Linked DNA regions of Coturnix japonica. The protein of the gene in region 1 interacts with the protein of each later gene in a biochemical or structural test. Links are inferred from orthologs where the notes say so. Each region holds a gene or a part of one and is shown on either strand. Other genes may lie near its edges.

Evidence for each region. The genes of interacting proteins can lie anywhere in the genome.
Region 2: the proteins of TNFRSF8 (region 1) and TNFSF8 form a complex in vitro, tested with the Homo sapiens proteins (2 studies listed by BioGRID and IntAct). The link is inferred for Coturnix japonica from reciprocal best matches to the Homo sapiens genes TNFRSF8 and TNFSF8.

The regions. Positions count from the first base shown.
Region 1 is NC_029536.1:4,769,171-4,773,408, reverse strand, and holds the start of TNFRSF8 (tumor necrosis factor receptor superfamily member 8), read left to right. Parts: upstream 1-1,437; 5' UTR 1,438-4,238. UniProt on the Homo sapiens protein: Receptor for TNFSF8/CD30L. May play a role in the regulation of cellular growth and transformation of activated lymphoblasts. Regulates gene expression through activation of NF-kappa-B.
Region 2 is NC_029532.1:1,654,342-1,658,492, forward strand, and holds the start of TNFSF8 (tumor necrosis factor ligand superfamily member 8), read right to left. Parts: upstream 2,827-4,151; 5' UTR 2,460-2,826; intron 1,552-2,459; 5' UTR 1,408-1,551; intron 789-1,407; 5' UTR 705-788; exon of another isoform or gene 430-704; 5' UTR 425-429; coding exon 128-424; intron 1-127.

The DNA of each region.
Region 1 (4,238 bases):
ATCTGCCATTTCAGTTAAGCAAACCAGAAATGCAGTGTTATCTGAGAACGCCAGGGCAAGGAATTAGCTTGTGAATGGCCTTGTTCAGTGGGAAGCATACAAATATGCTTATTTTCAAACACGTTAAGCATAACAAACACAAATTGCTAATGCCTTAAACTTGAGGTACTCAACAATGTAGTTAAAAAGTCTAGTTTATCTTCAGTGCCTGTAGCTACAGGGCACATTACAGAGTAATCATAAACCTGGAAAAGCACTTTTTATGACTCAAAAGCCTAGAAAATGCCTTAAGATATTTGCAAGTTACTCTTTCCTCTATTTTTCCAAGTTATTTTTGGAGGTTAGCAAAAAAGCTTTGTGGAGAAACAGCTTAAGAACAAAAGCAACATGTTCCGTATGGTATGATTTGTTGGAACTTCATGGTACGATCTTTCCCTGTCTAAAAATGATAAAAACAGATGTCATGTTTTGTCTCCAGTAATTCTGAAAGATAAATTCCTTTCATAAGAATTCTGGAAGTTATTGTGAAATCTGGACTAGTAATTGCGTTCGTAAGCTTTAAATCAAGTTTATTGGTAGGCGCTGGCTTCACAGAAAGCTTTGGGTTTGCACCAGTATTTTCAGCTTCTTGTCATTCGGTGTTAATTAAGGTACCCAATACTTTATAAAACAAATGTATGGATAGACTTTTTTAAGCAAGGGAGCAGTGTTGCAAATGTATGAAGTCTTACTATGTGACTGGAATGGAAAGCAAATGGCACGACTGACTAGTTATGTTTTGGGTTGAATATTTAGGATAAAGTGAAAGGAATTGGTCGCATTCTTTCCCTTAAAGCACAATCCCAAGCTATCTCTCTCTTCGTAATGGTTTTTACTATGTTCATGCGTGCTCTTTCAGATGGAGCTTCCCAGAAGTACTCGGTCTCAAAGAATATCTATTGAGATAAATTGATAGAATCATCTGAGCTGTCCCATGTGCCCTTATTGCTAATAAAACTGAAAATTTCAATTTCACAGTCGGGAGAACTTCTGCTGGTTTCCATCTTTAAATACTGGGAACTTCAGTTCACTTCCTTGGCTGAAATCTTCAGGAACAGAAAATGTGGTTTGCTTATTAACTTAGAAAATGACCTCATGGCTTTACGTATTGTCTCCAGATTTGTGCAAAGTAACTTTATATCATGATCCTTTTTGCACAAGGGATCTAACCAACGTTACTCAAGTTTTCCAGAAGAGCTTAAGCAATGTACATTTTATTGCTATTCCAAGCAGTTGCTGCATCAGTTTATCATTGATAATATTCAAACACATTTTTTGTGTGGACAACTTGTTTTTTTCTTTCCATTTGCAATTGAAATCAGCAAAGGGTTTGTAAATGGAGCTTGGCTAATGTTGTTGGTATGTGGTCCAGAATTGAGATCTGATAGTGTGACAGAGAGTAAACAGTTGTTTTTTGTTTGTTGTGGTTTTTTGACTGAGACACCTGACTGTGGGTGTGTATATGGTGGCCTCATGTTCTAGTAAGAAGGTGGTTCATGGTCAAGTTTCTCATAATAATCACTTTTAAAAATAGAACCATACAAGAAAACGAGGCTTGCTCCAATTTTGTTTAACCCACAGCTGAGCTAAATGAGTGTTTTCCCTTCGTATGTTTTCTCACAATTGCTCTGCTGAGGGTCTGTGCAAAGCAGTGCGGCTGCTGATTGCATTCAAGATATCAAAGTTACAAATCCTAGTTAGCTTACTTTCAACAACAGTAATGCAGGGAATGACAGGTCATACCTAGAAAGTGAGGTCAGGCTTTCTGAGAACCAGGTTATTTATTTATTTATTTTGCTTTGAATATGAGACTGAATCTCAATCCAAAAGTCCGGCAAAGGAAGTTTTATCTTGCCTAAAGTGATTATAAATAACTACAAGATGCAATTTTTGAATGGTGTGCTATGAGTAATCTGGGTGTGGATTAGTGAATTACAGTGTATTAAGGTTTTGTGCTGCAGTAAATATTATTGCAGATCATGATGCTATGCCTTTTCAAGGAGGAGAGTTGCTGAGAAGGCACCTGAGAGTAATTATAAGGGAAAACATCTATTTACAGGTTGAAAGTTTGTATTTATTCAGTGTTAAAACAGCTTCTGCACTTGGACTGGAGTCTGCAGAGCTGGAGCTGTGATGAACCCAGTGCTGCAGCCTGCACTTCAAGGGGGAAGATGAGGGAGGGATTGCTGCATTTGGGGTGTTGGGACTGTGGGTGAGAGGAATGTGAGGTTGACCAGGACCAGATAAGCAGAAGTGAGACTGTGGGAATATATATGGTAGGAAGCCAGAGTGGTAAGACGTGTGGCAAGTAGTAGAGACTATAAAAGAGGGAATGCGGAGAGGAGGGCTGGATTGTGAAAGCATGGAATATAAGCAGTGATGTGAGGGAAGAATTGTGCAGATCAAAATGGTATGGTAAAGAATAGGATTCCCAATGGTGTAACAATACCTTCAGGGTTATATTCTTACCCACAAAGTTATAAAAATAATCCTGCAGGCACCCCATGGCAGCTTGTTTTCCATTCCTAGAGGCAGCTGTGCTGTTATGTGTCCTCTAACTGTGATTTAGGGAGGTTTGTCTTCATGCATATTGATGAGCAAGAAAAGGAGCAACCTGGAATGCCTGAATTATACAAGAATCCCCAAGGAGAAAGGAGTTCTCTACAAGAAAGGTGAGGAAGGATGTGTAGCTGATAGGGCCTGGTCTTGTTTGCATTTCCATTGCATTAGAGACTGAGAGATGTTTGATATCAATCAGCTGGGGGTGGGAAGAAAGTGCTCAAATGTATAGAGAGGTAGCAGAGGTATTCCAGTTGATGGCAAGCTCCAGTGCCTGTACCCATTTTCATTAGTTCTCTTTTGGTTTGAGTGATAACTGCCTGGTGCTTCAATGGTAAAGCTGGTGGTTGACTTCGCCTTTCTGTCTGTTGATAACCCTGATTCATGTGTTGGGAAACAGAGCTTTGCTTATTTAAATATGACAGTAAAGAATGCGTCTGTTATTTGTTCTAATAGACAAGCCTGTTTCTTAGTAATAGTGTTTAACTGCCATCAGTGTTTGCTTGCCTCCTCTAGGATTGCTATAAGATAGATTGGGTGATGTCTCCAGATCAGGTGTTTCTTGCTGACAGTACATTTCAAGAATCAATACTCAGCCTTGAATGAGTGTGGTGCTGATTATTCATTCTGTTTAGTTATTAGCATGTCAAGGAATGACATCTTGAGAACCCTCAGGTGAATCATTTGCTTGTGGTAGAACTTATTTTTTGAGTGATTTCCAAACTTTAATTTTTTGGGGGCTTTCATCTTTTTGGAACTTGGGTTTTCGTAGTCAAGAAGTTGTTCTCAGTGCATCACATCTGAAGACACAGATGTGTTTTCTTCTTTTCTCTGTTAAAACCCTTGAATTCACGGGTTTCCTGGGTAATGGTGGACCAATGTAAGGACTCAACTTTCCACTTCTGATGGAGAGTTGGGTTGGTTTCTGCAGAACAAAAACATGCTGCCAGGAAGAGGAAAATAAGATCACTGAATTTCAGTCTTCAGGCATGTTTTAAATGCTCTTGAGAAAAACAACAACAGCAACAACAGGGTGATGCTGAAAACCCTCCTCCTTGTTTCTTTCATAAAAGCTATTTAACATTTCCCAAATTTCTCTCCTTTGTTTCAGCAAAGGAAGACTCACTTTGTTTCTGTTGGCAGATAAACTTCATAGCTCTCAGCTTTTAGATGAAGAGAGCCAGAGTACTGAGAAAGGAATTGCTACCCAACTCCCACTCCTTTGTTTTAATGACATGGCTGATCTTTACCAAGCATTTTCACTTTTGATTTTGAGTTTAAATGCATATGATTGAAAGCTTGGGCACTTTTCCAGTTTTCTTGTTTTCCTTCCTAGATGCATCCATAGAACACTTTTCAATTCCAACAATAAAAATTACCTATCAGCGAGGAATAGCATTTGTACACATAGTGTTTCAAAAGGAAAACTTAGGTCTATCTTCTTATTTGGATTGAGTAACCTTCTTCTACTTTCTGTGAGGGCTGCTCTGGAAGTAATGCCTCCTATTTTATGATGTTGGCCCATGGCATCGGATACAGATGTTGGTGGGGTGGCAATAGAGGTTGAACCTTCCCATCAATATCCCATTACGTTTTGTTGCTGTGTGACAGAGGGAAGCAGAGGGGCAATCTGACAGTGT
Region 2 (4,151 bases), on another chromosome or scaffold:
GGGGCAGAGACTGACCTTCCAGCCATGGGATAGTTTTTAGATTAGAGTAGAAGGTTATATTTAAAAAAATAATAATAAATCAATAAATAAGAAGAAAAAGGCAACAAGTGAAGTGAGAATTGCTTACCGTCCTCCGGATAACTAAGACCATGATGGTGGCTAACGCAAATACGAGCAACGCAACAAGGGTAGCAATGATGAAATACAGAAAAGTTTTGTTAGTGGCTCCAAGCCTCCTTGAAACGGTGTCTTCATTCACATGCATGGCTGATTCATGGGAGTCTTTCATCTGAAAAAGTGTTTGCTCTTGTGCCAAGCACCTTATATAGCTCTCAGGGTACTTGGTCTGTATCTCCCCTTGATCAGGTTCAGGTTGCAGCCCATCTCTGTTCCTGGCAGGATTTTCCCCTTCATCCTGGCTCATGTGATCTGGAAAAAAAACTTCATCACTTGTGGTACAAAGAACGAGGGAGCTGGGGGCGTGAAGCAGGTCGCAGCTGTGAGGAGGGGAAGGAGCTTCATGTTCGTGATCAGGGATTTCGCGACAGCAGCCTTGTGTGTTGCATCGGAGGTTTCTGATGTCAGAAGGTGAATGGTTACTAAGATCAGTGCCCCCTCCCTGCTGCTGGCTTTCCGTGAAAAAAGAGAGCTATGCAAATTTTGTTTCATTTTATACTCAGTGCAGCTCTAGTTCGGTGCAGTACATTGCCTGGAGCGCTGCCTTCCTGTTGCACAGAGCAACCTTTTGTTCTCCTCCGTAGCATCCCAGTGCTGTGATCTCCAGTGCTCTGTGTTCAGAGAGATCATAGATTGATAAAGGTTGGGAAAGACCTTTAAGATCATCAAGTCCTACTATCAACATATCCCCTCTAAAACATACATTTCATGTTTCACATGAACACGCCTCCATGTTTCTTGAATACCCCCAGGAACAGTGACTCCACCACCATCCCTGTCTTACCATTCTTTCTAAGAAGTTTACCCTAATATCCAACCTGAACATCCACTGATGGAACTAAGGCCATTCCCTGTTTTTCTATTACTGTTACCTGGTAGATTGGGTTGGTCAGGCAGAACCTGCCTTTCAGGAACCCCTAAAATGGCCAAATAGGATCTTAACCAACAGTCCATCTAACCTAGCAGCTTCCCTTCAATAGAGCTCAACTAGAGATGCCTTGTGAAAGACATCAGAACAGAAAAAGCAGGGAAAGTTATTTATTGAGTGTAATTATCCAGGTTCCTCTGACCTTGGCATATAAGAGTCTCAAACCAGAGGTAGGACTTTTTTATTTAATCCAGTTCTTCTCAACTGCCATGACTGGCAGCATCTACTATGCTTGAAAAGATCTTAAGCATCTCTTGCTTATAGCCGAGCAGGTGTTTAACTCAGCAAGGAAAATGACTTACAAGAGGATAATGGTGTTGTAGTTTTAAGAATGTCACATCATCTTCAGTGCCATGAGGAGAGCACTGTGAGCTTGCAGGTTTTCATGGCTGCACAGAGATGTGCGTGGTCAGCTCTTCTACAAGGGCAGGACACTCATGCTAAACCTACACGTAAGTGAAAAAGCAGATGTTACAGTGATAGCCACAAAAGACAAATAGATCAATGGAAGATTGGGGGGTAAAACATGGAAAAAAAATTAGCTCCTGTGCTAAGAGGTGCAATCCAGAATAAATCTGGCTTTAGTCCCTAAAACAAATTCAATCAGACTGCTAACATGGCATTTGAAAGTAACAGTTCACTTGTTTTGCATCAGCATTATACAATAGAGGTTACTAAGGCAGGAAACACCGAAGACTGCCCCAAGTTACAGCAGGATGAACAGATTAGTCCCAACTTTGAGGAGAGTGGAATACCTTGAAATGCAGAAGGGAAATGCTGCTCAGCTGAGGCAGGTGTGCTGCTAAGACAGATGGTGATTTTCAAGCAGGACAAGAATGCAGCATTAACAAGTACTTCTACCTCTGCAGTTCTGTCTTAGGCAGTAAATAACCACCTCACCTCCCTGTCAAGCTGGTGGTGATGCACATAACTTCAGTACAATGCTCTGTTACCCTTTACATCTAACATCTCTCTATAGAGTTACCACACTACCTGCCTGATTATTCTTCTTTTCCAGAGCTGAGATCACTGCTTTCATACCTTCTCACCAGTGCTGCATCCATTCTTACAAGCCCTGGTTGAAAGGCCAAATAGCATTGGTTCTTAATATGATGCACCTGCTGCATCCTCTGCAGCAAAGAGCTTTGCTTAAAAGGACAGAGAGGCTGAAAACAAGTGAACCACAAAACCAGCAGTTCTAATGACTTCTTGGTAGAGTTTTCAAGCAAGCGTCTTTAGCAGAAAAGAACAAAATATCCCATCCCCTTATTAATATTTAGTTATCTCCTCTTCGCTGAAAGGAACCAAACTGCTGAGAACTGAAAACACATCCATGTGGTCAATGGAAATTCACCTTTGTTTGAAGTCTGTGAGAACTGAAAACCCTCCTGGCAGACATTAAAGGCCAGTTCTTCAGAGACCTGTAGCCCAGTGACACTGAAATCCAGAGGTGTGAAGAGATCAGATGCCTTTGGGAGTTTCTGTTTTTATCTTCAGTGGGAGCAGTGCCTGTTTCTTATCAAACCATCATTCATGTTTACATCCATACAGTTTGCTACCAGAGCCCTGTCCTGAGCTTTTCAACACCTGAGAGAGCTCAGATAATATTCACCACAATGGATAGTTAATTACTGTGAATGCTTCCTAGCTGTGCCCTAATTAAGGGTCTCAGGCAGCAAACATGGGGAGGTTGGGCTCCTGCCTTCAAAGAGGTTGAACTGCACCCAAGTGCACATGCGGATGCTTTGTAAATCACTTGAAATGGAAATGCAACCTCAGTAAACTGAGGTTAGTGCAAAACATCATTGGCACTCAGGGTATGAATCACAGGTTTTTGAATTTCCTCCGATGAATCACTCTCCTGTGTTGTGCTTTGCTGTTGTGTTTGTCCCCAACGTCTCAGCCCGAGCTGAAGGAGATGGGGCAGGGTCCTCCTGCTGAGCAGGAGCCAAAAACACTGCAGCATTGGATCCCATAGGAGTGGCACATGAGCTTACAACCATGGATCAAAGAGGTCTCATTCACCTTGCCTTACCCTTACTGATGCATGGTAGGAAACGTTTCCCATTGGGTGAGATGCTTCCATTGGGTTATTATGGAATTCCTGTTGAAAATCAGCTGTGACAAAGATTTCTTTTATATAATGTTTATTAGAAGCTGTGCCTATTCATTTCCTCTTGATCCAGGGTAGGTCCCAGTGTGAAGTAAATGACACTCCAGTATCACACTCCCAACACTGCTGATATGGTTGGCACTTGCTGTAAGTTGCTGTAAAGGAGTCTTCTGAGGAAGGCTCTGCGTGTCTCTCATCCAGGCCTTCTTCTGCTCTTGCATCACGATGGAAGGTTTCCAAGAATAGCAATGTTCTTTTCTCATTTTGCTTCTCCAATAAAATTGTTGAATAAAAATAGACACCAGACAGGAGGAAAATAAGAGAGAAAAAGATAGGTTAGAGCTGCTATTGCACACTATTACCTCCTTGGGAAGCTAAGCAGTGTTTATTCATGCTGTGCAACTGTTTTCCTTGTTCAAAAGAATTGTATCACTCAGCCTTGTAAGGCAATAGAAAAAGAGGTAAATTAAATTAGCTGAAAATTGGCTACAGAGGGAAAGACATCTTATACTGGGGGTGATATGTAACATCCATCTCCCTGGAAGTGCAGGTGAAAAGCAGAGTCATTAAGATTGATAATAAAATACAATAATAAAGCAGTACAAATGGAACAGTTGTAAGAATGCAATAACTTCCACAGCTTTGTCAGAGAGTGCATTTGCTCAACTGGAGTCCCAGGAAGCCCAGGCAGTACCAGTTCTTCCCATGAAGCTCCCACCCCAAAGAAGGAGCTGCCCAACTTTTCATCTTTGCCATCTTTCAGCAGCATTTGCTGTTATGAGTCAACAGAAATGCTCTTTCCTGGATACAAATTCCCTTTGACTTCTGATTAACGATTTGGGAGCGAGACGAAGAAAGTAATATGTGAGTCACAAAGCTATAAAAATAGGATAACCAGAAGCACCGTTAAATAATAATAACAATAATAAATGC